7 linked regions of the Oryzias latipes genome follow. The protein of the gene in region 4 binds, or shares a complex with, the protein of the main gene of each other region. Links are inferred from orthologs where the notes say so. Each region holds a gene or a part of one and is shown on either strand. Other genes may lie near its edges.

The links.
Region 1: med16 (region 4) and med1 share a complex: the UniProt entries of both Homo sapiens proteins name them as parts of the mediator complex. The link is inferred for Oryzias latipes from reciprocal best matches to the Homo sapiens genes MED16 and MED1.
Region 2: med16 (region 4) and med13l share a complex: the UniProt entries of both Homo sapiens proteins name them as parts of the mediator complex. The link is inferred for Oryzias latipes from reciprocal best matches to the Homo sapiens genes MED16 and MED13L.
Region 3: med16 (region 4) and med31 share a complex: the UniProt entries of both Homo sapiens proteins name them as parts of the mediator complex. The link is inferred for Oryzias latipes from reciprocal best matches to the Homo sapiens genes MED16 and MED31.
Region 5: med16 (region 4) and med8 share a complex: the UniProt entries of both Homo sapiens proteins name them as parts of the mediator complex. The link is inferred for Oryzias latipes from reciprocal best matches to the Homo sapiens genes MED16 and MED8.
Region 6: med16 (region 4) and med18 share a complex: the UniProt entries of both Homo sapiens proteins name them as parts of the mediator complex. The link is inferred for Oryzias latipes from reciprocal best matches to the Homo sapiens genes MED16 and MED18.
Region 7: med16 (region 4) and med12 share a complex: the UniProt entries of both Homo sapiens proteins name them as parts of the mediator complex. The link is inferred for Oryzias latipes from reciprocal best matches to the Homo sapiens genes MED16 and MED12.

What each region holds. Positions count from the first base shown.
Region 1 is NC_019877.2:9,646,904-9,650,779, forward strand, and holds the end of med1 (mediator of RNA polymerase II transcription subunit 1), read right to left. Parts: coding exon 920-3,876; 3' UTR 373-919; downstream 1-372. UniProt on the Homo sapiens protein: Component of the Mediator complex, a coactivator involved in the regulated transcription of nearly all RNA polymerase II-dependent genes.
Region 2 is NC_019870.2:12,506,510-12,510,385, reverse strand, and holds part of med13l (mediator of RNA polymerase II transcription subunit 13-like), read right to left. Parts: coding exon 3,851-3,876; intron 3,714-3,850; coding exon 3,500-3,713; intron 2,786-3,499; coding exon 2,704-2,785; intron 2,590-2,703; coding exon 2,468-2,589; intron 2,308-2,467; coding exon 2,217-2,307; intron 2,049-2,216; coding exon 1,831-2,048; intron 1,742-1,830; coding exon 1,566-1,741; intron 1,493-1,565; coding exon 570-1,492; intron 369-569; coding exon 189-368; intron 75-188; coding exon 1-74. UniProt on the Homo sapiens protein: Component of the Mediator complex, a coactivator involved in the regulated transcription of nearly all RNA polymerase II-dependent genes.
Region 3 is NC_019872.2:23,702,455-23,706,970, reverse strand, and holds the start of med31 (mediator of RNA polymerase II transcription subunit 31), read right to left. Parts: upstream 2,992-4,516; 5' UTR 2,809-2,991; coding exon 2,799-2,808; intron 1,184-2,798; coding exon 1,109-1,183; intron 1-1,108. UniProt on the Homo sapiens protein: Component of the Mediator complex, a coactivator involved in the regulated transcription of nearly all RNA polymerase II-dependent genes.
Region 4 is NC_019862.2:1,616,423-1,619,422, forward strand, and holds the end of med16 (mediator of RNA polymerase II transcription subunit 16), read left to right. Parts: intron 1-992; coding exon 993-1,185; intron 1,186-1,449; coding exon 1,450-1,666; intron 1,667-2,098; coding exon 2,099-2,182; intron 2,183-2,257; coding exon 2,258-2,384; 3' UTR 2,385-2,468; downstream 2,469-3,000. UniProt on the Homo sapiens protein: Component of the Mediator complex, a coactivator involved in the regulated transcription of nearly all RNA polymerase II-dependent genes.
Region 5 is NC_019862.2:24,740,629-24,745,264, forward strand, and holds med8 (mediator of RNA polymerase II transcription subunit 8), read left to right. Parts: upstream 1-1,640; 5' UTR 1,641-1,733; coding exon 1,734-1,739; intron 1,740-1,871; coding exon 1,872-1,993; intron 1,994-3,021; coding exon 3,022-3,166; intron 3,167-3,249; coding exon 3,250-3,390; intron 3,391-3,468; coding exon 3,469-3,556; intron 3,557-3,627; coding exon 3,628-3,867; intron 3,868-3,943; coding exon 3,944-4,014; 3' UTR 4,015-4,188; downstream 4,189-4,636. UniProt on the Homo sapiens protein: Component of the Mediator complex, a coactivator involved in the regulated transcription of nearly all RNA polymerase II-dependent genes.
Region 6 is NC_019874.2:22,764,029-22,768,382, reverse strand, and holds med18 (mediator of RNA polymerase II transcription subunit 18), read left to right. Parts: upstream 1-1,388; 5' UTR 1,389-1,745; intron 1,746-2,222; 5' UTR 2,223-2,229; coding exon 2,230-2,302; intron 2,303-3,021; coding exon 3,022-3,578; 3' UTR 3,579-3,687; downstream 3,688-4,354. UniProt on the Homo sapiens protein: Component of the Mediator complex, a coactivator involved in the regulated transcription of nearly all RNA polymerase II-dependent genes.
Region 7 is NC_019868.2:8,241,378-8,245,783, forward strand, and holds the start of med12 (mediator of RNA polymerase II transcription subunit 12), read left to right. Parts: upstream 1-1,384; 5' UTR 1,385-1,441; coding exon 1,442-1,543; intron 1,544-2,247; coding exon 2,248-2,352; intron 2,353-2,442; coding exon 2,443-2,634; intron 2,635-4,406. UniProt on the Homo sapiens protein: Component of the Mediator complex, a coactivator involved in the regulated transcription of nearly all RNA polymerase II-dependent genes.

The sequences.
Region 1 (3,876 bases), on a different chromosome or scaffold from region 4:
TAAATCAGTGTTTTTGTGTTTTAGGTAATTTGCATTTTTTAAATCCCTTTTGCAGAATTTAAAGTCAGTGGCGTATCTTTTCGATGCTAAAATAAATGCCTAGGACAAAGCATATTTTGTTTGGCTTTTGTGCATTTTCAGCCATTTTCCTAGAATTGAATCCAAATATCTTCATTAGTGATCAAACTGAGAAAATCCACTCAACTCAAGTTTTAGTAAAAAAAATAAAAAAGTAAAGGTATAATTCAGGAAGTTTATTCTGTGACTCTTTGCTGCCATCTAGTGGAGCTACAGCAATACCCCATAAAAGCAGAGACTAAACCGTAATGAGTATAAATGTAAATGTGATTTAGTGAGTTAAATAAAGACCTCTCCAGATGCGTTATATTTATTACAATCCTCTAGATATTCAGGTAAAAAAGAGGAAAACAGCTACATAGTTTTCGGCAATACCCATATATTGTTGACTACACAATAATACACAATAATAGTTCAAATGTATAAACACTCTAACTCCCTTTACATGAAAAAAGCTAATGAATATTCTCTCACGCAGCTCTGTTCACTCGAAATGCTAAAAAAATTAACAGTAATAATTTTGACTTTTTTGACACATTTTGGACATATTGTATCAAATTAAGACACATTTTAAGCTGTAATGAAACAAGCAAGTAATAATAGCCACAAGCCATTAAAGAGCAACACTCTGAAGTGGCTTTGGTTGTGAAATGTTAATTCTGACAAATCTAAGATCTCAATTTAACAGCAATATACAGTAAAATAACTCCAAAATATAGTTTAAACATGTCAAAAACCGCTTAGAAGCATTGTTATCCTCAGATTTCAATTTTAGACTTGAGTAAATTAATTTACATGTCTAATTGTATTCACTAAAAGCCCCCAATAATATATAAAATGTCTAGTTTGGATCAAACTTGCCAGTGAGGGCTGAGTCCATGAGTTCATCTTCTTCGTTTCTCATGTACATCGGGCTGGACCTTGATGGCCGATCTGAACTGAGCATGGACAGAGAGGAATCTGAGGCAGAGATGGGAGACCGAGACCAACTGTCTGCTTTCATTGGGTGGGAGGACAAGCCCATGGACAGGGAAGACTTCTTCTTCTCCTTCTCCCTGTCCCGTTCTCTGTCTCTGTCCCTCTCCCGTTCCTTCTCTTTCTGCTTCTTCTTTTCCTTCTTGTGCTTCTTGTGCTTCTCCCCTGAACCCAGTGGGATGGAGCTCATGTAATCTTGTGGAGGAAGAGGACGCATCGTCTGGTCATCGTCAGAGCTGGGGCTGTTCTGATGCGACTTCTCAGCGACTGAACTGCTGCCCGATTCACTTTCGCTGTCGGGGTTGAGTGGGGTATATGCAGGGGACCGGCTATGGCTGGGCGACGAGCGGTCATGTTTGGGCGTAGATCCACTGAAAAGAGGCGAAGCTTTAAGACTAGAAATTTGTGGACGTATAGAGTCACTAGACCCTTCCCCCGCCTTCTGGAGGGTCACTTTAGCCTTAATGCTTGGTGAGCCACCATCTGGTTTGCTAATGATAATTTTGGCAAGGGTAGTTCCGCCCACACCACCTGCTTTCGAGTCCATTGTCTTCTTCTCCCCACTGTTCCCCCCAGATACGGAGACTTTAGCCTTTGCCTCCTTATCCGATTTTTCCCGTTTGTACTCCACATTCTGGGATGAGGAGGTGTGCTTGGTGGAGCCCACATTAGAAGGTCCACTAGAAACATTTCCAGAACCACCAGGAGGAGCTCCTGAACCAGCTCCTCCAACTGGTGGCCCTACATCGCAGCCATCTTCTCCAACTCCTCCTCCACCAACACTCTTCAGCTTATCAATGACTGCTGTTAGGGAGGGCTTTTTGTTTCGGCTGGGAGATTTTCCTTTTGCATTGGGGTTGTTTGAGTTGTTCTGACCAGTCCCTCCACCACTCCCTCCTGCACCTCCGCTTCCACCTCCTCCACCAACATATTGAGATTGGGAACCTCCTGAGAAACTCATGGAACCAGAGGATGAGGAGGAACTGGATGATGATGAAGATGCGGTAGAAGAGGAGCTGCCACCAATTGGTTTCTGTGAGCTTTGGCCTCCACCAGAGGAAGACTTGGACCCTCCCGAGCTGCTTCCTCCGGACCCCATAGGAGATTTAGCCTTTGAGGATGGAGGAGTTCCTGGAACCTGTGATTGCTGCATCTTCATCGGAGAGGACAGTTTGTCCCCAGAGCCACTGGAGCGGGAATGGGAAGGGGAAATATTTGGCTTTACGTTGGGGTTAATAAGAGACCCAGGAGGTTTTCCCCCTTGTGGTTTAATTTTATTTCCACTTCCAGCACCACCAGGCCCTGAAAATCCATGTTTTGTTATTGGTGATGATCCCGGTTTGCCAACACCTTGAGAGGAGCCTTTTGACTGGGACTGTCCACTTCCACCTACTGCCCCCCCGGGTTTGGAGTTGTTTCCCTGTGATAAGGAGCTTTCTTTGGACTTGATCTTTCCAGAGGAAGATGAGTGAGAGTGGTGGCTTTTGCTGCTCGTACTTCCTGTACCTCCTGAGCTGCTGGTGGCTGAGCTGCTGGAGGTGTATCCGCTATGGGAAGAGGTTTTACCTCCGGTTATAGTCCCCTTTGGGATCTGAATGGTGATTTTGGGAATTGGGGGTGTGGCCACTCCAGGAGGAGTCTGGGAGCGTCCTGAACTACCAGGAGACTTGGAGCCTCCAGCACTTAAGCTAACTCCTGAACTCAAACCACCACTAGGGGGCGTATACGGTCGCCCACCAGAACTGTGAGAGGGGGATTTTCCATCTGGATCCACCTTTTTGCGTTTGGGAGGCTTTTCTTTTGACTTTCCTTCACTGGATGGGGTTCTGCTTCGTTTGACCTGTTTCCCTTCAGTTGAGCTGGTCCCCATTCCCATTCCAGAATTGCTCCCTCCACTGGCCCCATTATCCTCCTTTGCCCGAACAAGGCCCTGTTGTTGTTTAACTTTGGGTTCAGCACTTTTAAAATCAGAACAGGCAGCTCCAAGCCCCATCATAAGGGGACTCTGGGATCCTCCTCCGTGAGTGTCTCCAAGATCAGGAGCATGCCCCAGAAGTGGTTTTCCACTACCACTGTTGCCTCCAAACACTATCCCCATATCAAAAGGATCCTTTAACGAGGGTTCTGGTGTGTTCTGTCCATGTGGAGTAGGATTCTGAGGAGTTCCAGATGGAGTATTTTGTTGACTTCCGAACCCCTTGACCATGTCCATGACTCCATCAGGACTTTCGGAGCAGTTTTCAAAGAAGTTCTGAGTGAAACTATGCTCTGGGGAAAAGTCGGGTGGGTCATGAAAGAAGGAAGAGGACGAACAATCGCTATCCTGAATGGGATCAGGTGGAGTTGGAATCAGATCAGTGTCCGTAAAGGGGTTTTCATTGCTATTGGTATTAAAAATATCTCCCGAATCAAACACTGCGCTACCTTGACCGGAGCTGGACGAGTCCCGGATGGGAGTACCTAAGGGTCCTACATCATCGCCACCACTACCCATGGGGTGCTGCCCATGGCTCTCACTGCTGCCTTTGCCTGGTTGCTCTGGTAAATCCTGCAGGATTTCAGTGATATCAGGTCCAATGCTATCAGAGCTGGAGAGTCGAACCATGCGGGGTGGAACAGTTCCTGGTGGTTGCTGAGGCTGGATGTGAGACTGTGAATAAGGCATATTAGAGCCAGGAGGTGGTGTCCCACACTGGCTTGGTGCTGGAGTGATGCTATGAGGTGTGTCGAGACCATCACCTGCCAGGTTGACATCAAAAATAGAATTCTGAGAAGCATCCACATCCATAGAGAAGAGCTCCCGATGAAAATCATCTTCATGTG
Region 2 (3,876 bases), on a different chromosome or scaffold from region 4:
CAAGAAGTCCCGCTCACGGTCATAGCCTACTAACACTGTAGGAATGGGCAGGGGCTCCGGAGACTCCTCTGAACCTGAGGTTATACAAGTTGTCATGTTTAATCTGGAGATCATTTTTAAAATATTATATTACATTGCAAGTGGCATGCAATTATAATTTTATCACAGAAAAACATGAGCATTTTCACCATAAGAGCCTCTTCCAGCCATCTTGTGAAACTGCTGCCAGGTCAGCGGCCCCTGAACGTGCTGGATGTTTTCCCAGGTCCGACCTGTTCGCTTCTTCTGGATGGCATCCTGCAGGAAAGGCTGCAAAGATAGCAGCATACGAACCATATCCTGTGACGACAACATGCTCATATCCACCACTTTGGAAATAGCCAGACACACACACACATACATACACAGAGAAGGTTACATTAAAAATGTACAAATGGTTCTGCACACCAAAGAAACAAAACAATCACAGAACATGTAAAAACATAAAATCATTTGAACTAATAAAAAACTTTTGTCATAATAGATCAAATCTATATTCTCTACTTTTGCAGTTAAAGAATGTTTCTTACCGTTTGTGTGTGGCCAGGAATGAAGGGCACTACTTCTGACAACAGCTAGATCCACTTTTCCCCCAGTGGGGTTGTCCACATACTGCAGCCCCTGCATCAAAGCATTGTAACACTCCACACAGGCGTCACTCTCATCCGCCCACTGCTTTTCAGACATCCAACTTTGGAGGAGTGCCCCCTTGCGTCCATGACAAGAGCAGCTGAGAGGGAGGTGAAGTGATGCCAGAGAGGAAATGGGATGGGAGCACTGCTCCTGCAAAACGATCATGACTGATGGAGAGGCAGGGGTAGCCTCCTGAGGCTGCTTGGCTCTGGAGTCCCCCATGATTGGGTCCCGACGACATAAAGCCAGCCTCCTCTGGGCTGCTTGACCCACTTCAGACGTCCGACCAAATATATCCAGCTCGTCTTCCAAGAAAAGGCCCGTACCATGAGCCAGCCGCCTGTTGATGATCGCGCTGAAGCCACACATACAGCGGTACTGATCTTCACAGGTGGAATCTGGGATGTACACCCCCACATCTGCCCCTTTGACATTCATATTGCAGGCACAGATGCAGCAGCTGTCAAAGTTGCGATCCTTAAATACGCTAAGGACAGAGTCTGAGAGCAAAAGGACAACATACAGGCTGTGGGCCTCAGGCAGAGAGGGCCCAGGCCGTCCTAAGGGCTCTACAGAACTAAGGGGCAGGCTGGTGGACGGGGTAGAAACTGGTGAGCTAAGCTCAGTGCCGTCCTGCTTCACTGAGCCCTGCCCTGAGCTTGCAGCGTTAATCCCTCTGGGCGTACGGGGAGTCCGTGGGGTGGGCACGGAAAATTGGGGCATGGCAGGAGAAGGAAGGATGGTGGTGTTCACAGAGGCAGTCGTACCGCTCATCTGGCCATATTCTTGGTCAGTGAGGGCGTTGACACTAGGAATGTTTCTGGATAATTAAAATAGGGAGTCAGACCAAGAATTACACTCAAAAAATGTTTCAAGTGTCTATAAATACTCACGTGTATCCATCCTTGGAGAAAACATTCCGAGGATGCATGATGGTGGTGAAATGTTCCATTTTAGGTAAAACAGCCCAGGATGGACGGTAATAACACTGATCAGGAATCTTTGACGGTGGCAGATTCTGGCTGGGAAGGCAGGATAAAGGAGCAAACATGGAGGAACATATCTGTGGCTGGAAAGAGAGGAAAACATATGCCTGTTAACTGCAGTTTGGCACACGTCTCTCATTGCTCAAACAGCTTCGGATGAATTTCCGCTCACTTTGATATCATCTTGCCCTGGACTGGCCACACTCTCCTCCATCTCCATCCTACATTCAGCAAGCTGGAAAGAAGCCAAGGGTGGTAGGTGGTCCGCCACTCCACTGGGTACTGGGGGCTCCAGACTTGGGGTGTCACGATGCGGTGTGATGGGAGAGAAAGCCGGGTGTTGTTCTAGCGAAGGTGGGGTTGGAAACATCCGCTGGAGATCTGCAACTGCTAAAATGAGGCAGACACAAAGACATGACAAAGGAAAATGGGGTATAATGTAAAAACATATTTCAAAGTGATTGTAAAAGTAAAAAGTTTTGATCTACACATAATTTGATGTAGATAGTAAAAAAGCATATTTACTGAGCTTTTGAAAACAAAATACTTATTACTCACTTGATGGATAAGGGACATTAACTCTCCCTTCTTTGCCAGCAGGACGATCTTCTGTTGGCACGAGTAGCTTGGTCTGATTCGGGTAAACAGTCTACGGATTATTACAAAGAAAAATGAGTCCGTCTAAAGGCAAGGACATCCCATATAAAGTCCTGATACTGCTAAGAATAAATGTGTTTTACTGAATTATTAGTAGGTCTTCCAATGATGGTTAAATCTACAATTGTAAGGAATAAAAGATTGTGTCTTACGCCCAACTCTTCTTCGTCTTCATCAAATATGTTATCCAGATCAGAAATGTTGACCACCAGATCTTTTTCTCTGGTCAGAGAAGGGTTGGCTTTTGCAGCAGCATCATCTTGACCCGATTCCTCTGCAATAGACAAAAAAAACAGAGGAACAAAATAAAAAACATTGCAGAGAAGCAGCAGCCTTCTGGCTAATGGGAAAACTGTAAAGTGTGGAGTGTTGGTGCTGACATCTTTACCTGATTTTGGAGCAGAGTTAAAAATGGACATAGCATCTTTTCCATCAGGAACAGCTGATGCATCATTTGTGATCTCTTCCCCCTTTGAATTAAAGTGGAGATTGTTTAGACAACTTTTAAATAATATTCTTTTATCTGCAGTGTACCTGTAAAAACATTTTATGTACTCCAAAGTTGAACAATGATTGAGTTTAATTTGGACTGTGTGCAGTTTATTATCTAAGAAAAGATAACCACTTATTCTCTCATTAAAGAAGAAAACAAACTGGAATTCAAAACCAAGCAATGGTAATGAAAAAATAAATATCACTGAACATTTTGAATGATCTTAACAATTGAAGTCCAAACTGGATGTGAACTCATTTTGTATTTATTATCTCCTTACTTGGATGAGAAACTGTTTTTATTAGCAAATGCAGTTGGTGTACGTTTGATAACCTCACCAAGCATTAAAAATGCAAAACTTTATAAATTGTAATCCGGATTGCACCACCTCCCCTAAAGAAATAGCTCAGCTCTGCTTTGAACAGATGATCGGAACATCATGGTCCAGATCTCAGAACAGCTACTTTTTGTGCAATGTATTAAAGGAAATACATTTTAATAGTTCTATTACCAATTATTTTTATTGTTTTTAACATATTCTATTGTGCTTCCATGCTGGAGGACGGCAGATGATAAGTATCTTATAGCTAAATCATGTACAAAAGATCCCCTCTCTAGTGATAATGTTTAGTACATGGTCCCTAACAAACAAACAAACCAACAAACAAGCTCTGAGTGTGTACTATAATACCTTAGCCTTCTTGCTTGGCTCTCGCCCTGGACCCTTTAACCTTTTGGAGGAGGAGAAGGTGTATTCGATGTCTCCTTCCTTGAAGTCGTAGGGATCTTCACCATTCTCCCTCAGTACCTCCACACCCGGCTGCTCAAACAAGCCAAGTGCTTTAATGTGGTCCCTCACTCTCTCTTCAGAGATTTTAAATCTCTTGTGGGTCTGTGTATAGAGTCTGGAGGAGGCAAAGAAACATGTGTAAAACCAAAACACACATCCTCACAACTATCTGGGTTTTCTTTTACTCATGGATACTTTTCTGTGATTCCAATAACACGTAACGCAAAACCTATTTTTTTTTACATATCCTACCTTTTGAGTGGAACTGCATCTGCAGC
Region 3 (4,516 bases), on a different chromosome or scaffold from region 4:
AAAGAACTATTTAATGCCTCCATGTTCATTTCTGCTGACTTTAAGTTCCATTACAATGAGTTGCACCTTTCTCTATCTACGTCTGTGTTTTGTGCAAAGTCCTTCACAGCTGTGAATCCCCTGAGCTACCCCCCCCCCCTTTACGGAGTGCATCGAGCGCCATCTCATATTGACCAGAGACACAGTCATGTGTAGCTTACAGTTAACAATAAAGTAAGAAAGGCTGAATTAATACTTTAAAAAAAAAAACAACTCCCAGGAAGGATCCGGGTCGTGTCTTTCACACCAAAGAGCCGACTTTAAGGTTGTTTCACTTGCTACTGACACATCAGTACACGAGTCTCTGCTCTGCTGCTCACCTGCTGCTCCTCAGGGATAACAAGACTCCTTGCAGGATCTCTTTTTGTCTTTTTCATCTTTGAGCCAGTTTGGAAAGCAAAGCGACTGCAGCAATGAGGGGATGTCTGTACTTTGACCGATCCCCCATGCTGCTATGTGCCAGTAATTCCGTCTTTTTTTATAATTAGTCTCTGTTTCATTTCAATTAACAGAGAAAAAGTCAAAGCCTGCAAAATCTAAGTAACAAAGTAACAAGGGTTTCTATAGTCCAGTAACTGTAATTCATTACAGAATATGAGCTGTAATTTGTTATGTTCTACCGTTACTGACAAAAGTAATTAAATTACAGTAATTTGTTACTTTGTAATCCATTACCCCAACACTGAGCAACATACAGAAGTGAGGATATTTATCAGTTTAAACAAACACATTTCTGTCTTTAATGAAGAAAGGTCAGGAAAAAAAAAAAAAAAAAACTAAATGAGTAAAATAGGTGAATCTGATCTTTAATGTGATACATAATATGGAAAAACATGAAAATTGGAGTAATATTTTTGGCTTTTCAGAGCTTTTTGTTCCTTCTTTTCATTGGGCAGTCATAAAAACAGGTTTTCATGGAATATTCGTGTTGAGGCCTTGCAGGGCTTCAGATTATTGAAGGATTTCAAGCCTCCAACCAAACGAACTTCCAGTTAAGGAATGTAGTTTCTGGCTTCACTTTTCAGGGAAGTTAAAGAACAAATGTTAAAGAAAAGATGAAGAGACTTACAGTTCAGGTAGTACGGATTTGCCAAACACTGCACAAACTCCAGCTCGGCCTGGAAGCGGTGCCGGGCCTGCTCATCTGGACCAGAAAAGACAGCATCACACAAAAGTAAAAAACACTGCGAATTCTGAAACAATAAGCAGTTTGGGCCTGACGACCTGCTGCAGTTATTATTATTATTATTTTTTTGCTGCTCTGATATTTCCATGATTCGTGTGTTATGCTAACACTGTAAATGAGTTTTATTTCCCCAAACACATTTCCTGTGTTAGACCAGTGGACTGGGTGATAAGTTAGAAACTATATAAGCGCGACGCAAGAACTGGTTTATTGTCAGACTACATTTTCACAAACGAGCCTCTGAGGTTCGGCTACTAAATACAACCAAACAAAAAGATGCGACCGACAAAAACGTCTGACTAAAGTAAATGTGAGTTCAACCAGTACACAATTTTACTAGCAGTGTCCTGAAAACCTTAGAGGGTCAGTCACCGCACAGTGAGTGCGGGAACAACTGTCACCAGAAATCTATGTTTTGAGTAGAACTCCTGGTTCCATGTTGGGGTGGAATCTCAGTCATTCAGGTCATGATAAAATGAAAAGTTCCAAAAGTATTCAACTGGACAAAGTTTCTGGTTTGAAGACGTTTCGCCTCTCACCCGAGCAGTTTCTTCAGTTCTGTCCAACTGGTGCTGAGCTAGAGATTTACATCCTCCTCGCTGGAGTCCTTTGATGGCCAACCAAACCCCCCAGTGACTGATTCGTTGACCCCTGTGTCCCGGTTGTGTCTATCTCTTCCTTTTCCTCACTGACGGTGCTTTCTGCCCAGAGAAACCTTTAAGAGGGCCTGACGCTTGTTTGTGTAATATTCAATAGAATGAGGGTTTTTATTTAGCGTTGTAGTAATGTGCGTTAGCAGCTGAAGGTGGGTAAAATGCCTGACTGAGGCAAACATCAAGCGTCACAGACAGATGTGGAGCAGTGGACGTCGTTTTTCAAAATAAAACCTTCATAAACACCTGATTAACAGAAAAAAGGAAGAGTGGTACCGATATGGAGCTGGAGACCACTGTCCCCGGTGAATCATTGAGTTAATGGGGTAGTTAAGGTAGTATGTCTGATAAAATCTCACATTTACAAAGTTATTCAAACCTGATAGAGCTTTATTAAACCCACGTGAACTAGTGTGTTGTCCTTATGTCGGTCTTTGGTTTATTTATTGGTTAAAGAGAGTTAGCAGTTTGCTAAAATTAGCCCAACGTTTTTGAAATTATGAATTATATGCAGTCTGAAGATCTTACTTATTCCTGCTCAAGCGACCTGTACTAGTATGTCGGGGTTTACTTTGGCTTCTTTATGAAAAATGTGTCAAGATGGACGAGCTTCATATTCTATCTTTTTAAACTTTCTCATAAATGTCATATTACTTATTTTACGGACTACAGCGAAAAAATCCCCGCGTTAATCGCCGACATTATTAATTTATTATTTACGAAAAATTTTCGGCTTGTTGTACGCACGAACTCAGGTTAATAAAAGCATCAACACAGCTTTAAGTCTTTTACAAAAGTTAGAAATACACAGTTTCTCAAATGTCAAATAAAAACACAAGAATAATGAAGACATTCATCATCCTCCCATATAGTTAGACTTAGAAGAACCAAAGCTAACAAAAATAGGTTTAGCTACAAACCTGTTTCCATGGTATCGACCCGAACAGTAACTATTTACTGTCCACAAACTGAGCAGGGCTTCCAGAAAGAGCAGAAAATCCTTATATGTGTTTAAATGTTTAACAAATCTTCAGTCCAGCTGCTTTTGTTTAGCTTTCATCAGCCGTAAGTGAACTACTCGGGCAAAACCACTTCCGACTTTGCGACACCTGCTATCTACTTTACGGCTTTTTTTCTTTTGCAACAAAACTTTGTTGTTCAGCACACGGACAACAAAAACTGAGACAGAAAATACCCAACACAAATAAAAAATACTTGTTAATCATACTTTTGGTTATATAGTGTTTGAAGTCTGAAGAAATAAACATTAAATGTCATCATGAAACAGAAATAATTTGAACAGTGAATAAAAAACGTCCATGTTTATTTGAGTCTTTGTTATTTATTGGAAAAACACAGAAATTAAATGATCAAAAAGCAGTAAACGGAAAATGTTTTGTTATTTTTCATCCAGTCTGATGTTAATGTTTTTCTCTGAACACTGAAAAATATGAGAATATGCAAAAACTTTAGGTAATCAAAATGTTTCACACTTGATTCATAGGATTTCTGATCTTGTAGTTCAGCATCTGGCCGTATGATTGCTGTATGAATGATTGTGGCGCTCCATGTATGTATGTATGATTGTGGCCCATGTGTGATTGTGGCGCTCCACAATCTTACTAGGCTGTGCTTTTCCTGCCAGCATCTTACACCCTGCAGTTATGTGCTGGATTGTTTCAGGCGCCTCTTTGCACAGCCTACACCTTGGGTCTTGTCTGGTGTGGTAGATCTGAGCCTCCATTGCTCTGGTGTTCAGGGTTTGTTCCTGGGCTGCCAGGATGAGTGCTTCAGTGCTGTCCTGTAGGCCAGCCCTTTCTAGCCATTGGTAGCACTTCTTGATATCAGCAGCTTCAGTTATGGTCCGGTTTGTCCTCCCATGAGGATTTGTCCTCTAGCACTGCATCCCTCTCCGTTGCCTGAGACATTCACTGAACACACTGTCAGTTGGGGCCTTGAGTTTGATGTATTTGTGTGCAGCAGGAAGAAAGAAATAAGAAAGTGCACTCGCTGTAGTTAAACACAGTGACGTATGCTTCAGAGGACGTTCAATTGGCTGTTCTGCATGTCAATCAAGTGACATCTTTCCTGCCGAGGATGATGATTCACTGACAGATTTTTAAAAAATATATTTTGATATTTATTTCTTATTTTTGATGACCTGCAATCTACAGTTCCATCCTTCGTGATCGACATAATGAGCACCCCTGACCTAAAGGATTTGAATGTGGACCATAAAATAACACTCTTTACATGTTTGAGTGATAAAGTTTTATTATCAACAAGTAAAAGGAGTTAGCAACAGGTTTGTAAAAAACAGGAAGATACATATGTACACAACACACACATACGTGCATACACAAACACACACACACACACACACACACACACACAAACAGGCACACCTTTGTTACTTATATTGGTTTATATAAAAACTAAAAACCTTTGTAGAGATCAGCAAAAACCTCAATAGATCTGCCGTTTTCAGATTCAAACCACTGCAACACAAGACGTCTAAAAAACCTGCTTCTCCACGTTTCTCTTAGGTAACACAGAGAGACTCTGACCCAAACTTCATTTACTGAATGTTAAATGAAGAAAACTGGTTGTGAACTGACCAAGCTTGATCTAAATTTTA
Region 4 (3,000 bases):
AAGAGTTGTGGAGTCTGGTCCTTGAGGTCCAGAACTGCTGCAGGACAGAATAGGATCTGAGATAAACTTGGTGCTTTGAGATTGTCCATGTTTCTCTCTAAAACCCACAGACACCTCTTTACTCTTCTGTCTTTTCTTTATGCTCAGGGTGACACACACCACTCAGGCTCTGTCCTGTATTGCTCCTATTGAGTTTGTCTGATTACTGTACACACCTGTTACCTGCCACAGGTGGGTTTAAATAAAAACAGAAGCGTTACTTGCTTGAAAAATTATTATATCTTACCAGTTTTGACAAGGTGCTAATAAGTCTGGTCCCATGTGGGACTTCTGTGTGAATATGTATCAGGTTTCTTCTGTTCCAAAAAAAAAAAAAAAATCAAAACATTTGCAATTGGAACCAATGTGTTGCATTTTTGTGATCAAATTGGAAAATATTTTAAGGTTTTTAGGCTTAATTCTGAATAGATAATGTGTGTGTGTTACATACCGAAAATGTTTGTGTACATATAATATAAATAAAATGATGGGTTTGTATTTAAAGCAAAGAAATGGAAGAGAGCATCTTGAATTGAAACTTAAAGAGTGACCCTCTGACTCTGAGTAGAATGCTGAGAACAAAACAGTTGCTTAATTCTCTACTTCTATTCTTTCGTTCAGCTGTGTTCTTGAGATTTACCGCATCTCTGTTAAAGCTGTATTGCTGACAGCGAAGAACAATCCTTTGGTTAAAACAGATTCCCAGTTAATATAAATAATTTACGAGTAACCAGAACTAGACAAGTCGGCATCACTGACTCATAAGGATTACCTCATGCTAGTTGTAAAATCTTTAAACGGTAGAATTATGACCTGTCACTCAACCAGCTGAACACAGAAAAGAAACTAAAGGAACAGATTTGTTTTGAAAGACTGCAACTGCCGTCAGGTGGAACCTGGTGTCCACCTGGGCAGGTTCTGATTGACCTGTCGACGTGTGGCCTGAACTGTAGGGCTCCATGGTTCGGCCTGGATTTGGTTTCATGAGAGACGGGGCATCGCTGGGGATGTTACGCGAGATGCTGGTGATGATCAGGATATGGGGTCTTCTGAAGCCAGGATGCCTGCCCACCTTCACCGCCATGTCGGATAGTCAAGACAGCCTCCAGCTGCTGTTCAGACTGCTGACCAAGCTGTGGCTGTGCTGTAAGGAGCAAATTCTTTACCCACTCTAAAGACGAAACCTGTAAATGTTGATCATGAAGTGGTGCTCGTTTTGTAGAAATCTTGAATTGTTTGATCAATGTTATTTGTTCTGGCTGTTAAAGGCTCGTCTTGATACAAATGTTTTTGGAACTGCAATGCAACTGTTGCTATGTCAGGCAACGGCAACACTGCAACCTGCAGCTGGGACCTAAGCTGGAGCCTTCTGTAGGAAGCAGATTTTTATGCCTGTATTTTGTGTCTCAGCTCGGGAGGATGGCCCCACCCAGGAGCCCGATGAGGGCCTCATTGATGAGTGCTGCCTGCTACCCAGTCAGCTGCTGGTTCCTAGCATGGACTGGCTCCCTGTGAACGATGGCGTCATTGTAAAGCTGCAGGGAAAGAACCCCCTCAAGCTGCAGTTTGGGAAAGCTTCCTCCTTACCAGGAGCAGCCGGCGGCGCCCCATTGGAAGCACTTACCAGGTATTGATCTAATCACCTGCTGTATAAAGGCTTGCACAGGTTTTGGAATAAAATCTGGCTTCTGCTCAAATCTCAAAGGTATGTGCACTGAAATGTTGTGATGTATACACCAATCTATGTCCTCTATAGTTGTGTTCACTTTACAACCCAACCCACCAAGAATGGACCCCTTCAAAAACAATTCTACATTTAAGAACAGACGGGCCTTTATCCTAATTTATGTCGTTAAAAGGATCCATGTTATGATTGCTAAACATAGTTGAAAAGCAAACCACTTTAAAGGAAAATAGTTTATAGAGTGGCCATACCACCCTTAACACGCCTGATCTCGTCCGATCTTGGAAGCTAAGAAGAGTCGCGCCTGGTTAGTACTTGGATGGGAGACTGCCTGGGAAGACTAAATATTCATGGTCTACTTTTTGCAATGCTTAGGAGTCCTGGCTCACAGAAGATGGACAACCTGCGCTGTGTCTTTTTAGGAGTTTGTCCCACTGAAGAAAGTAAAGCCTGCACCAGGTGAGTGCACAACAACATTGATGTGAAGTACAGGTACCGTTAATGAGCTTCTAAGTTTGGCTCCTCCTCCCTCAGATGCGGCTGTGTGACGATGCTCCGTTCCCCCAACAAGACCAACGCTATGAAGCAGTGGGAGCAGCGCTGGATCAAGAACTGCCTGTGTGGAGGCCTGTGGAGGAGGATCCCAGCTGCTCTCAGCTAACACTGGAAGCTGCACCAGTCTGAGGGAACATTTTTGTTTTCCACTGTAAATATTGTAACTCTTTCAATAAAAGACAATAATACTAACAGTTCTGCTTCTGATTGGGTTCTTTATACGCTGCGGTTTTACAGCGTGAGCCCGTTGGACTTCACCTTTGTTTTTGGGGAATCCATGTCCCCTTTTTGTCATAACTCACTGGTTGTTCATATTCTTTGTTCTTGTTTTTTTATATTATTCTTAGTCTTTTTTTTCCCCCTCTGCTGTCAGTGGCTATGGTGAAAAAACAAATTTCCCACGTGTGGGATCAATAAAGTATTTCTGTTTCTGATTGTTCCTGATGAATGTTAAAATATTTTATAACAGACTTTTGTGTATTTGTGTTTAATTTACTGCCTTTGAATAGCGGCCTCTGCGGTGAAACATCTGTGCCTGAGGAGCTGAGGGCTTCATCCGCTTTTTTAAGAAAAACAACTGAAAACTCATCGTTTTAACTCTGCCTTTAAGTAGCTGTTTCAGATCCACGCATTTTAATTTGATTTTATGTAAAGATTGTTTTTGTGGCATGTGTATGTGTGTTTTTTTATTAAGACTTCTATTTTCAAACTACTGTTTTTTT
Region 5 (4,636 bases), about 23 Mb from region 4:
TTCGACACCGAAGAGGAGGTGATCCGGCGGGCCAACAACACCACCTTTGGACTGGCCTCTGGGGTTTTCACCAGGTCAGCAGAGAGCTGCAGACTGCGATAACGTTTGCTTTTAAGATAAAACTGCTTTATTGCATTTTCTGACCCTATTGCTGTCAAAGATTAACACTCCACAGTCTCTGGTAAGGTCTCACCTGAACTCTGTTCTTCGTCTGCAGAGACATTTCTCGAGCTCATCGTGTGGCTGCAAGTCTGGAGGCGGGGACCTGCTTCATCAACAATTACAACATCAGCCCAGTGGAGGTGCCATTTGGAGGGTATAAGATGTCAGGTGGGGTCTTGTAAAAAAAACAAAAAAAAACAAGAGGCTTCTTGAGGAAAAATGGTGAAACCGAGTTCTTGATCTGTGCAGGCTTTGGCAGAGAGAACGGCCAGGTGACCATCGAGTACTACTCCCAGCTGAAGACGGTGGTGGTGGAAACAGGCGATGTGGAAAACTACTTCTAGAGTTTCCGTTTTACACTCATTTCAGAGCAATAAACGAAACTGTGCAGACCTGTTGAATGTGGATGTCCTATTTGAACTTTTCTGGAGTGTCTTTTATTAACTCTTAAGTGTGTATGAACAGCTGGCATGATTCTTCAGGCTAATTTATTTTGTCACGTTGGACATTTGCTCATGCAAACATTATCTGAACTCTGATCCTGAAGTAAAAATAGCAGTTGCATATAGAGTTTACACTGCTAGAAACATTGATCCATCTTCTAAACCACCTTTATTCATGTATATAAAAAAAAAGTATGCTGGGTGTCCTAGAGCCCACCCAGCTACTGAAAGGCAAAGGTGGGATACACCCTGGGCAGTTCACCAGACCACTGCTGGGTCAAATGGTGTTAGGATTCAGTCTAAGAGACACTTTTGAGGTCTTAGGTCAGAGAGCTCTTCTCCAAGGTTGCACCAAACAATCAGGTCTCTGTTTTTATAAGGCTTGTATTTTAGTCTGATGCCTGGACCGGTGAATGTTAATAATAAAGCCGAACTAAATAGATAATGTTGATGACTCATAAACTTGAAAAGAACTGATTTTGTAATGGTTGGCCAAGATTCTGGGACATTTGGAGCTTCCACTAAAGATAACCAGAACAATATACAGCTTGTTACAGAAGACCCATGATCACACACAGAAACAAAAACACTAAACATATCATTTGTTTTTAATAAATACCAGGAAGACTAAATTGTTTCTGCTCTGAGCTTTTATCTCTGTCTCCCTGTAAGCTGCACCTTCTCTGTGCTTCCTTCACAACTGTCTGCAGGACTCATCCTCTGATTCTGCTCTCAGCTCTTCAATTTCACTTTGGTTGCTGCAATTTCTCATTTTTTTTTAGTCAACACCATCGTTGATTCTCTATTTTAAAAAAGTCAGTATAGACTGGATTAATGACTCTGACGGGACAGTTCTAGTACATTATTTTGGCCTGGAACAGAGAATTTGGACGAAAGAAAACAATATTAAAGGGTGCAAAACCCTCAGAAACAAATATTTATTGAACAATAAATAAAAAAAGAAAAGAAAAAAACAAGAGGATGGGTGGTATGGGTACCTGCTGTAGCCACAAGGGAGCACAAACACACCGTCAGATTTGACCAGAGAAGAAGAAGCATCTCTTTTTTTTGGAAAGCGCAAAGCGGAAGTACAACCTAGAAGACTTCCGGGTCGCTGACAGATCAACAATGCAAGTGAGTCTGAAATAATTTCACTCGGTTGTCTGTGATTCTTCTGACCTACTGTGGACGATACTTTGGACTGATGCTAGCTCGGGCGCTGTGTAATCTGTCCGGGCCTCTCTGCTCGTCCTTTTTGTGTTTCAGCAGCGGGAGGAGAAGCAGCTGGAGACGGCGGTGGAGTCTCTCATCTCCCGGGTGGCTCACGTTAAAAACGCCCTGAGCAGCTTCATCTACAAGCTGGAGAATGAGTACGAACGTCTGACATGGTGGGTCCTCCTGCCCTTATGACGTAACGTATCCCCCCTCCTTTGATTATGATAAATAAAAGCCTGGAAACATGCGAAGTTAACAAGTGAGTGCATATCGTGCGTGTGCATGTGTGCGCGAGCGCACTTAGACTATAAATCTTTGTTGATCCCACAAAAGGGGAAATTACCTTGTTGTTGCCATAGCTCCAATAAAACATCAGATATATATTAATAACACTAAAAATACACTTAAACAATTAACAGCAATCATTTTTGTCCAATGTCTATAAGGCATTGCAGAGTCTAATAGCTGACGGGAAGAAAGATCTGGGAAAGTGCTCCTTCCTGCAACAAGGTGTAAAGGAGCTGCTCAGTACACCCATACAAAGGATGATGATGATGATGAAGAAGAGGAGTGTCCATGATGGAGTTCAGTTTCTGTAACATTTTACTCTCACCCACCACAGTTACCGATTCTAGGAGACATCCCAGAACGTAGCCGGATCTCCGCTCCAGTTTGTTGATCCTCTTCTTGTTCCTGTTTGTGCATTCACACCTCCAGCAGCTCAAACCATAGAAGAGGGCAGACGCAACAATGCCATCATTAAAAAGAGTCCTGAAAACTCAGGAGAACCCCAGTCTCCTCAGTATCTCCTGCGATCTGGGATTGCTTCTCCAGCGGCATGTTGTTGTTGCCAAGCAACAACAGCTGACCGTGTAGACGATGTACCCACAGACCGCTTCAGACCCAGAAAGTGGGGGATAAATAGTCCAAAGGACTAGCAGGCACGCCACTGCACTTGTGTAAAAAACAACAATTCTGTCAAAAAACAGAATAATAATTAGAGAAAAAAAAAAACGAAACTAAAGAAAAACAAGCAAGCCAACACAGATCTATGGTAACTGCCAGCTTGTTGTAGCATTGGTGTCTGTATTTGCGTGCGTGTATTTGTACGTGTGCATGCGTCTTTTAGAAAGTGTTTGTGTCTCCATGTTTACCTGCAAAAGTTTTCTCACCCCCCTCTCAAATCTTTCCTGTCCCTCAGGCCATCTGTTTTGGACAACTTTGCTCTCCTCTCGGGTCAGCTGAACACCATCAACAAGCTGCTGAGGAACGAGAAGACCCCAGCTTTCCGGAGTCAGGTCATCATCCCGCTGCTCCTGTCTCCTGACCGGGATGAGGATTTAGCTGTGAGTGTCGCCGCAACATTTGCAGGCTGTCCTGTGTGGTGAAAGACCTCTAACTATCCTGTCCACCCCCACACCCCCCTCAGAAACTCACAGAGCAACGCGTCCCGGTGTTCAGTCACGAGATTGTGCCAGATCACTTGAGGACCAAGCCTGACCCCGAGGTGGAAGAGCAGGAGAAGCAGCTGAGTGCAGAGGCGGTCAGGATTGGTCCTGAGTTGGCTCAGGTCAGGAGGCGCATGGATGTTTGTTATCTGTTGTCTGTGCTCAGAAGGTGTTTAGTGTTTGTCTGTGCTAATCCACAGAAGCATATCCAGGCTCTGAACAAGCTGTGTTCCAACCTTCTGGAGAAGCTGAACAACCCTCGAGAGGACAGAGAGGGAGATGCTTCTGGTGGGTCGCTCGTTTGTGTAAATCCCTTGTTGTCCTTATTGTAGAAAGAGCTGAGTGTGTTTATCTTCCAGCAGTGCGGCAGAACAAAGCGTCCTTCAACCCCACAGACACCAGTGCCTTGGTAGCAGCTGTGGCTTTTGGGAAGGGACTCTCCAAGTGTAGACCTCCTGGCCCTGTGGCCCCTGGCCACCCAGGGCAGGGGCCCATGATGAGCGGAGGTCCAACGTTACAGCAGGTCACTATTGGTGGCGGGTCAAACCAGCAAGCAGGTATGGGAGGGCCTGGGGCCCCCCAGCAGCAAGGTCAGCCAGGTAGGAAACTGTACTGGTAAAATGTATTAAGTTTTTTGTATTGGAGACACATTTTTATTTCTTTATTTTTGTCCAGGAAAAATGCCAAGCAGCATCAAGACAAACATCAAGTCTGCATCGGGTTCCATTCACCCTTACAACCGGTGATCTCCCCCGCCCGCCTCTTTACTGCTCAGATGCAGGAACATCAGTCTGTTACTGGGTCCACCTTCACGTCCCCCTTTGAAGCTCTCTATACAGCCACTAGGTGGCAGCATGGGATCCTTTATGGCTAAATCTTAACAGCACAATGACATGTTTTCAATAAAACCCAGAAAAGCAGCTTGGTTTGTGTGGCCTTTATTATACAAGTGTCTTTCTCTTGTTTCTGCACTGAAACGACGTGAAAAAACCTGAGCTCCGCTCTTCTGAGTCTGTGTTGCAGCGCTGAGCCTGATGGGGGTGGACGTTGTGTCACAACTTTTAAGGGAGAACGCGAGGAACTATTGCTGTTGACAATGGTGGTGGTGGGGGTTTTATTCCTGTCTGAGTGTTGGCCCTCTGTCTGCTCTGATCCTGTCTGGCTGTATGACCTACATCCACCCTCCGTTCCTTAACTCAGAGTTGAACAAAGACACATTTGTGCTCACAAACAAACCTGAACAAAAGACCGATATGGGAGACACAAAGTCAGAAGTCTCCATAAAGTTACCCTTATTGTAAGTAAATTCTTAAATTTGTATTTTTTGATATACAACTCCACGTCTAATTTCCATTCATCTTTAGAACC
Region 6 (4,354 bases), on a different chromosome or scaffold from region 4:
TTCTTTGGGGTGCAAATTCTGAGGTTTTTACTTTCAGAGTTTTAATGAGCCTGAGGTTTTAACAGCTCCATCACACCTTTTCTATGTTCACCCTCTAGCATTTCCTTTGCTTTGCACTTGCTGTGTTTTCAGAAGACGGACAAGTGTGAGTAATAATCCTTTACATTTTCCACAAATCATAAAGTGACTAATCATTTACTAATCATTTTCCACTAATCATTATTTCTTTATTTGCAGGTGGAAGAAGAACCCTCCATTGTTTATTCCTTAATTGCCTTTAGAACCCCTGCAAAGACCAATGGCCGTGAATTAGCCCACAATGAAACCATTTACAGTGAAATAAAATTCACAAAAAGCAGTTTGGATAGGTTGAGCAGGTAATTGTTGCGATATTTTAGCAGTTCTGAAGTTGCCTTAACATGGATTCTGTTTTGTGAGTTGAAGTAAACTTCACCCTACAAGGTCCAAAATGGAAACCCTTAGAAGGGTTTTTTCCATTGTGTCAGAAAATGAATAACTGCTTGCTAATTATCTTTATGAAATATAGCATTGCTTTGTGTCTGTACCTGATACTGTCAGCAAGTGCTTTGAAAACAGAAAACAAGTTCCTTTAAATTATTCTGAACCATTATTTTTTCTGACACAAATTTTGTTAAATATTTTTTCTTTAAAGGCTTCGGAATCCGTCAAAACACAGTTTTTATATCTTTATTATTTTATGTGTAAAATATGCATCTGATGGAATGTTTGTCATTTACTTTAAAAGGTTAAGCACAAATCTTAAAAAAGTTTGTGAACCTCAATCAGCCAAAAACTATAGCAGCATGTCTGAATTTTAAATGTTTTATTCAATGTTTTAAAAAGAAAATATTTAACAAAAACTAATTGTAAAAATATTGTAATTGTTGTGAAGACAGCATCTGAGTTTTAAAAAAAAGGCCCACAGAGCTAGGCTTTTATTTTTTTATGTGCCAGCAATTACTATTACAACATTTTCGGTATGAAATCTACATATATATTTTTATTATTTTTAAATATGTGCAAGGTTTTCAAATACATTTAGTTACTTATCTGCACTGATAATAGTTTCAATTTTTAGAGCACGTTTTGGTTTGTGAGTGTTTTTGTAAATCAAATGACTTGAAGTTGATTTTTAAAAAAATGTTATTTATGGATTGTATTTTTAAAGTAACCCCTGTTTGGGTTACTGTAATTGATCCTTTTTCTACATTGCTAAAATTTAAGTTCAATAAGTGTATTCAACGTGTACTTATTGTTTTATCATTTGCCTAAATACCTGTTTGCGCGGAAAAAGCTAACACAGAAAGTTGCTTCCATGAATGGTTATATTCCGGGGTTTCAGTAGGTGGCAGTAACGAGCTTTAAACTGGATTGAAAGCGCCTTTTAAAAACAAAAGCCAAGGAAGAACTTGGGCGCCTTTGTTTTCTGATTAGCATCAAATTTTGGTTGTTTTTAGAACGGGTTACAATATATATTTCATTAACACTTTTTTTATTTTTTAAGTTAAGTACGAATGCCTTAAATTACTTTGTTGATGACAGTAACAGCTCAAATCGTGAGTTGGTAATTCCATGTAGGCTAACTGTTAACTGGTACTAGCAGCCGTGTGGATATTAGCTAACCGGTGAAACAGGGGGCCCACCGTGGAAACCAACCACAAACAGCAAAAATATCTTAACTTTAGTCAGTTCTAACGCTGCGCCGAACTCTTTATTCTGCTCAGGTAAACCATCTTACTCTGTAGTGAGAAACGTCTACTGCTTTTGCTAGTTAGCATAAGCCTGCTATTGGTAGTTGTATTTGTTCGCTAATTTAGCTAACAACTGTTTTCTGTTTACTCATTCATTCATTGGTAATGTCACTCACATGTATCATCAAACAACTGCAAATGAAATAGAGTAGTCCAACAACACTTTGCAAAAAGTAGCCTATTTAGTTTACTACATGTATAATTGGCTAGTGGGACGATATACTTGAAGTAAACTTTTAAACACAATCTAGTATTGCTAAATTCAAAACATAAAATGTTCCAATTTAGTCTGAAGAAGTTTTCAGTCAGTTAATACTTCTTTCACAATATACACATGGTCTATCGTACACTTGTACTTATTCTCACGTGTCCTCAATGAAATAAACTTCAAGTGTAGTACTTTTTGCTAAGTGAATGACAATGCCATCATTCACTATTACTTTAAATCAGGAAGAAGATGGAAGCTCCTCCTGTCACAGTTATGCCCGTCACCGGCGGTGCCATCAACATGATGGAATATCTGTTACAAGGTGAGACGATTCAGATATAGAAGGTTCAACCAGAGATATAGAGGCTTGATATATTTACAGATAAAACGGTGTATTTTTCCAGAATACATATATTAGAAGCCAGTATGAAGTTCACTGGCTAAATTATTTGAAAAATAATGTTTACATCTTCATTCTGTTGCTAAAACCAACTTCTATCCATTAATATTAGTCTTTAAAAAAAAACTATTAAGTTGAGCTAATTATTTTTCCATCATGAGTGTTGGTGTAGCATTAAAGAGCAAACCACACTGTCAAGAGTGTGGAAAGAGTGCTCAGTTACTTTCTGTCTTGAAAATAATATATATTTCTAAGGTTTTCCTGTCCTGTTTGTGCTGCACTTTACTGGACACATTTGTATTTAGTAAACTGAAGTATTTAAGATTATATAGATGCATAAAGATTTATGGAAAAATAATCCTCAAGTCAGGAAAGCTTTTTTTAAATTTTTTTATTCATGAAACCTGTTATTCATGTTTTCATCACATCTGAAGTGTTTATTGAAACTGTGTTTGTAAAAAAAAGAGATCTAAAACGAACACTAATTTTAACATTGAACATTTTTTAATTTCATGATGGAGGATTATATGTTTAATATTCATTTTTAAAAAGTTGTATCACAGCAGGAAATAATTATAGTGGGAGTAAAGAACTTACTATATGAGTCTTTAAAGGATATTCTATTTTCTCGTTTTTTTCAGGCAGTGTTTTGGATCAGGCTCTGGAAAGCCTCCTGCATCGCCTGCGTGGTCTCTGTGACAACATGGAACCAGAGACTTTCACCGACCACGAGCTGGTTTACCTTTTGAAAGGCCAGCAAGGCAACCCCTTCATTCTGCGTGCCAGACGCTCCCTCTCCCACCCTACTTCTCCATGGCACCTGCGGTATCTAGGCCAGCCAGAAGTGGGAGACAAGAGCCGCCATGCTCTGGTTCGCAACTGTGTCGATGTAGCTGCCTCTCAAAGCCTTCCGGAGTTCCTCAATGAGATGGGCTTTCGCATGGACCATGAGTTTGTGGCCAGTGGTCACATATTTCGCAAAGGAGCAATGAAAGTTGTGGTTAGCAAGGTTTCACGCATCCTAGTACCAGGGAACACGGAAAATACAGAGCGAATGTCGCTGTCGTATTTAGTGGAACTGAGCATTTTGGCTCCGGCCGGACAGGACACCGTGTCAGAAGACATGCGCAGCTTTGCCGAGCAGCTCAAACCTCTGATTCATCTGGAGAAGATTGACCCAAGCAAGCAGAGACATTAAGCATTAATGGAAAAAAATGTTTTTGTTATTGTTTTCCTTTCCATTTAAATGCTTTTTAATGTGATGAAATACAGATTTACTTTGCTTAAACTGTTACAGTTGTGGTTAATCTGACCTGTCAGAGTATTTTTTTAATTTATTTTTTACTTTTTGTGCCTACTATAAAGAAAATATTATAGTAACAAATAGCTGGAAAATACTTAAATATATTTTAAGTTGACAAACATTTTGCAATGCCTCAGATGGCTTATGTTATTGCTTTAAAAATTTTTTTTTAAATCTTCAATTTCATTTTTTTATATAATAAATGTCCACCAGGGGTCTCTCTTTCCACAAGGATGGTCTTAATTGGAGCAAAGTGAACGCTACCTCTCATCATCTACAGGAGCTCTGGTTGCCATGGAAATAATTAGCTGTGCGATCTGCACATCGTTTACCCCACTCTAATTAGCTTTCTCAATTGCTTAATGATACATAGACCTGTGAAAGCCTTTCTTTCTTCCTTTCCACAAAAGCATTGATTTTCCCTCTCTTCCCCTTTCATTTCTACTGTTAACCCATTAGTATCCTTTCTTTTTTTCATGGGAACTTGAGCTGGGACTATTACAAGTGAAAGCACTATGGTTGCCTTAGGTCCTTCATTGCTCATGTTGAAATTGGAAAAAGGGGGTTGTATATTAGTGTGTCAACATGGCCAAGCTACTGCAGAGGCGGAAGTAACTAATGCACATCCTGTCAGTTATGATAATAATGTTGGCAAAAAGACAAGATTGTTT
Region 7 (4,406 bases), on a different chromosome or scaffold from region 4:
AATTGAACACGTCATACTAAATTGGAACATTTTAAATTTACAGTATGTACTGTGTAGACAGTTGATAATAAGTAAACCAAAAGTATGCTGTCTCACTTTTAGTATAGATTAAGTATAAGTGCACACCTAAATAGATTACGTTTAGCTGAGTAACTTTTGCTTTCTAAATAGATTTTTGGTTAATTTGTTTTTGTACTTCTACTGAAGTAACATCACTAAAGCTTGGTCATAGGCCGTTTCATTCAACACAGTTACATTTATTATTATTATTTTGTATTGTTAAGAAAACAATATACCTTGATTTTGTTTTCAACTCTACAAATATGTGTTGAAAAGTTCCATCAAAATACTTGAACAACATTTGATCAGTTGGTGGGTCAGTACCTGAACAAATAGTTTTCTTGTCATATTGATAATTTCTTTAAAACTTTAGCTTTCCAGTGACACTTTTAGAGTATGCAGTTGTTTCTGATGTGATCCCTGCAGGTTTTCTTCAATTTCTAAAAATGTCTAATGCAAAGAAAATAGGCCAGTGCTGAATTTGATGACACTTTTAGTGGAGATGTGGACATTACGAGGAAAGGATGCACCAATAGATATATTAGAAATCAAATTTCTTGTTTGACTTCTGGTGCAAAGATTATTTGGTATCCAATCTTGAGTGATTCAATATTGTATTAAAAATAAAAAAGAAAAAAAGTTTCATTTAACATTTTTTATCAAATTTTTCCAGTAAAGATAGACAAAAAAGATTTAAAATAGGGAAAGGGTATTTCTTATTTTTACCTAAAACACGTGTGTTTAGCTAATCAAGTAAGGAGACCACTTTTAAAATTTAGTTTAGTATTGCATGTAGTCTACATAACTGGATCAGATTTGAAAGAATTTATAGTCACAGAATTGAATGTAAACGTCCAAATTAGTATTGTTGATTTCATGTTTTATTTTGAATACATGGTTTGCCCAAAACTGTAATTTTTGTTATTCAACTGTTTATAATTTATTGTTTAATCCCACACTCACAAATATAAATGGTCCATTTCAAAATCTTGTTTTAATGTTTTCATTCTTGACTTTAAAATAATCACAACAGTGGAACAAATGTAAAATATGCAGATCTTGAAGGAATGGCACATTTTTCAATTCTTTTTAACAAGATTGTAATGATTGTTGATGTGCAGGTTGTACAGTACGTGTTATGTTTACTTTCGCCTATTGTCCTGTATCTAGTTCATAACAAAGTTTTTTAAAGACAAAAAAGGTTTAAACGACACTTAACGAAAGGGAACAAAATAAGAGCTTTTCTTTGAAGCGGCGCACAATCTGAAACTTTTATTTTGAAGTGGCAGAATGAGAGGCAGCCGGAAGCGAGTGTCGCTCTTACATTCAGCCCAGAGACTGCTGTTTAGGAGGCGGAAAGCTTTGGCTGTGATGCCCTTAGATGATGGCTGCTTTCGGGATCTTAAGTTACGAACACCGGCCATTAAAGCGGCCCCGCCTCGGTCCTCCGGACGTTTATCCCCAAGATCCAAAGCAAAAAGAGGTGCAGTCAACTTTCATTCGAGCCTCTCTTGGATTGGAATTGTGTTTGTTGGAATTGTGTTTGTTGGTGGGGGAGAATTCTCTCGACAGGGAAGCTGTAGGGGGCTAACACACAGCTAGCGTTTTATAGCAGCGCTGTATAAGCGAAGGGCCTTGGAGCAACAATAAGCAGCTCCCGGCTGTCAGCTTATTAGCAGCTCCGCACTTAACTGGAAAACAAACCCCTCGTTAAATAACAGAGCTAGCTAAGCTAACAGCAGCTATGCCACTGAATATCAAACAGAAGTTTGTATTTCCGTCAAACAGAAGGGGGTTCATATCTCCGAAAGACTCGCATATTTAAATGTTTTGCTCCACAAAAATGGCGTTAACCTGTTAACTATCCTTTTTATTATTATTATTATATTTTTTTTAGGAATGTTTAATGCATCCTTATCGTAGTTTAATTTCGACTCTACCCTGTGTGATAATGGTACATTCCTTTGTTCTTATATATGTAGCAGGTATAGTTTGGGGTGTCAGTGGTAAAGCTTTATTTCTCGGCCCACCTTTTTCTGAATTCTCAGGGGAATGATCAGTTTTTGTGTTGTCAGCACAGCCAGTCGAGCACATTTCCTGCTTGCTCAGAACGCCAGTGATTGCTGAGGAATGGAGCTTTAGCACATCTTGTAGTATTGACCTCCTACATGTGTGTTTTTGTTTCAGGATGAGTTGACTGCCCTCAATGTGAAGCAGGGCTTCAACAACCAGCCAGCTGTGTCTAGTGACGAGCACGGCTCTGCCAAAAATGTCAACTTCAATCCCGCAAAGGTACCATTCATTTATTAATTATTATTGGCAGATTTTGTCCTAAATGCCAGTTAGTTTTTTTTTTTAATGCATGTGCTCATGTGTTTGCAGATCAGTTCCAACTTTAGCAGCATCATCGCAGAGAAGCTGCGCTTCAACAGTTTTCCCGATACAGGGAAACGTAAACCGCAGGTTAACCAAAAGGATAATTTCTGGCTCGTCACAGCAAGGTCGCAGAGCTCCATCAATAGCTGGTTTACAGATTTAGGTGGTACTAAACCTCTGACCCAGCTGGCTAAAAAGGTAAAAGTCCTGTGGATGAATCCTGGGATCACTGAGTATTGTTGTGTACTTTGTTTTCCTGTTTACTGTTTTTGTTCTCAGTTCACGTACGGAAATCTTCAGTTTGTTAAAGATGCACTCAGATGAAAATAGTATTTTTAACAGGTTCTTGTGGCATTTTTGTCATGATGGACATTTTTTAAGAAAATTAAGCCTAAAAGAGCATTTCTCTTTTTTAAATTGTTGTGAATGAGGAGCAGGAGAAAAAAATGCTTTTTGAAAAGAGATTGTAGTTGGACATAGAAAAATACGATGAGCCCCCTGCTCTGCTCCATTCTGATACATGCACTCACAGGCAAATAGATCCATGTACGTCTTTGTTTTCCTCGTCTGGGCTGAAATCTGGATCAAAACTGTACGGCTGGATACCGCCAATGTTGCTCGCCATTTTAGTATCGCTGCTAATTTTAGGTTGGGGGTGTGAGGAGCTGTAAGTTAAAGGGGAGCATGTAAACAGAGGAGTAACCGAAATTGGGGTGTGATCACTCCACGTCAACAGTCCTGCCCACAACTCAGAGGAGAATACTGATGAACTCCAGCTGCTCTGCAGAAACGATGTCCTAAAAAACGAGACAGGTTTTTGATTTTGGCTAAAAACAGCATAACCCTTGTGCTGTCCTATGGGGTCCAGATGACCCGATCTTTACATTGACGTGTTCTCCCTACCATTACAAAAGTGGATAAAGGTGGAAAGATTTCATGTAATCCATGGACACCAGTGAACATCACAAATCATTGAAGAAAAAAGGTTCAGAGCACTGTCTAGTGCAGAGGTGGGCACTGAGGGCCGCATTCCTGCATGTTTTCCAGCATACCCTGCTCTGGCATGTTCTGATTGGCTGGACACACCTTAACCAGGTAATCAGCCACGAGTAGGGCAAGATTATTGGCTGGACACACCTGAAGCAGGTAATCAGCCATGAGTAGGGCAAGACTATCTGGAAATCATGCAGAAACACCGGCCCTCGAGGCCTGGAATTGCCCACCCCTGGTCTAGTGGGTCTGGATGACCCAACTCCCAATGTTAAAGTGCCTAAGATAGCACAAGGGTTACGAGACCTCTGGGAACGCTTTGAAAATGGATCAAAAAAAGGTTGAAGTGGGTCTTTAAACTGTCAGTGAAAAGAAACAGAATATCTTTCACACTTTTTATAAACTAGTAGAATTAATGATATTTGTAGCAGGTACCGGATGTTAAAGTGTCTTGAGTATTTGTACCCTTACAATTCATCTCTATGATGCTCAAACTGAACTTTGACAAAAACAGCATAAATGGAACAGCAGCTTGATGTCGTCCAATAAAGAAAATCACATTGATGTCTTCTAACTCAAACACAGAAATCTAGTCAAACGGCTGCTCTATTTTGCATCATTGTAATTTACCAGACATTATTTTGTTCCATTGTTTATGAAAAAGCTGTATTTCTCAATTGATGTGTTTTCTGCTGGCCTGTACATTTATTATTACAGTCCCAGTCTGGGCCAATGTAGGCTAGCTGTGAGCATATAGGATATTTAAGCCAGGTTTATTTATAGGTAAAGTCAATACAAAAGTTTTGCAAAAATGCAAAAATAAATGTGAATTTTGTCTTCTTTTTTTTCTTGGCTGGTCAGTTTTGGCATTTGTGCTGCTATAATTGATCAGATCTTGTTATAGTTTATTTTATTTAGATAAAGTGAATTTCAGCTGTTGTGTGGACAGCCACATGTCTATCTCCTTAACCTGTATTTGG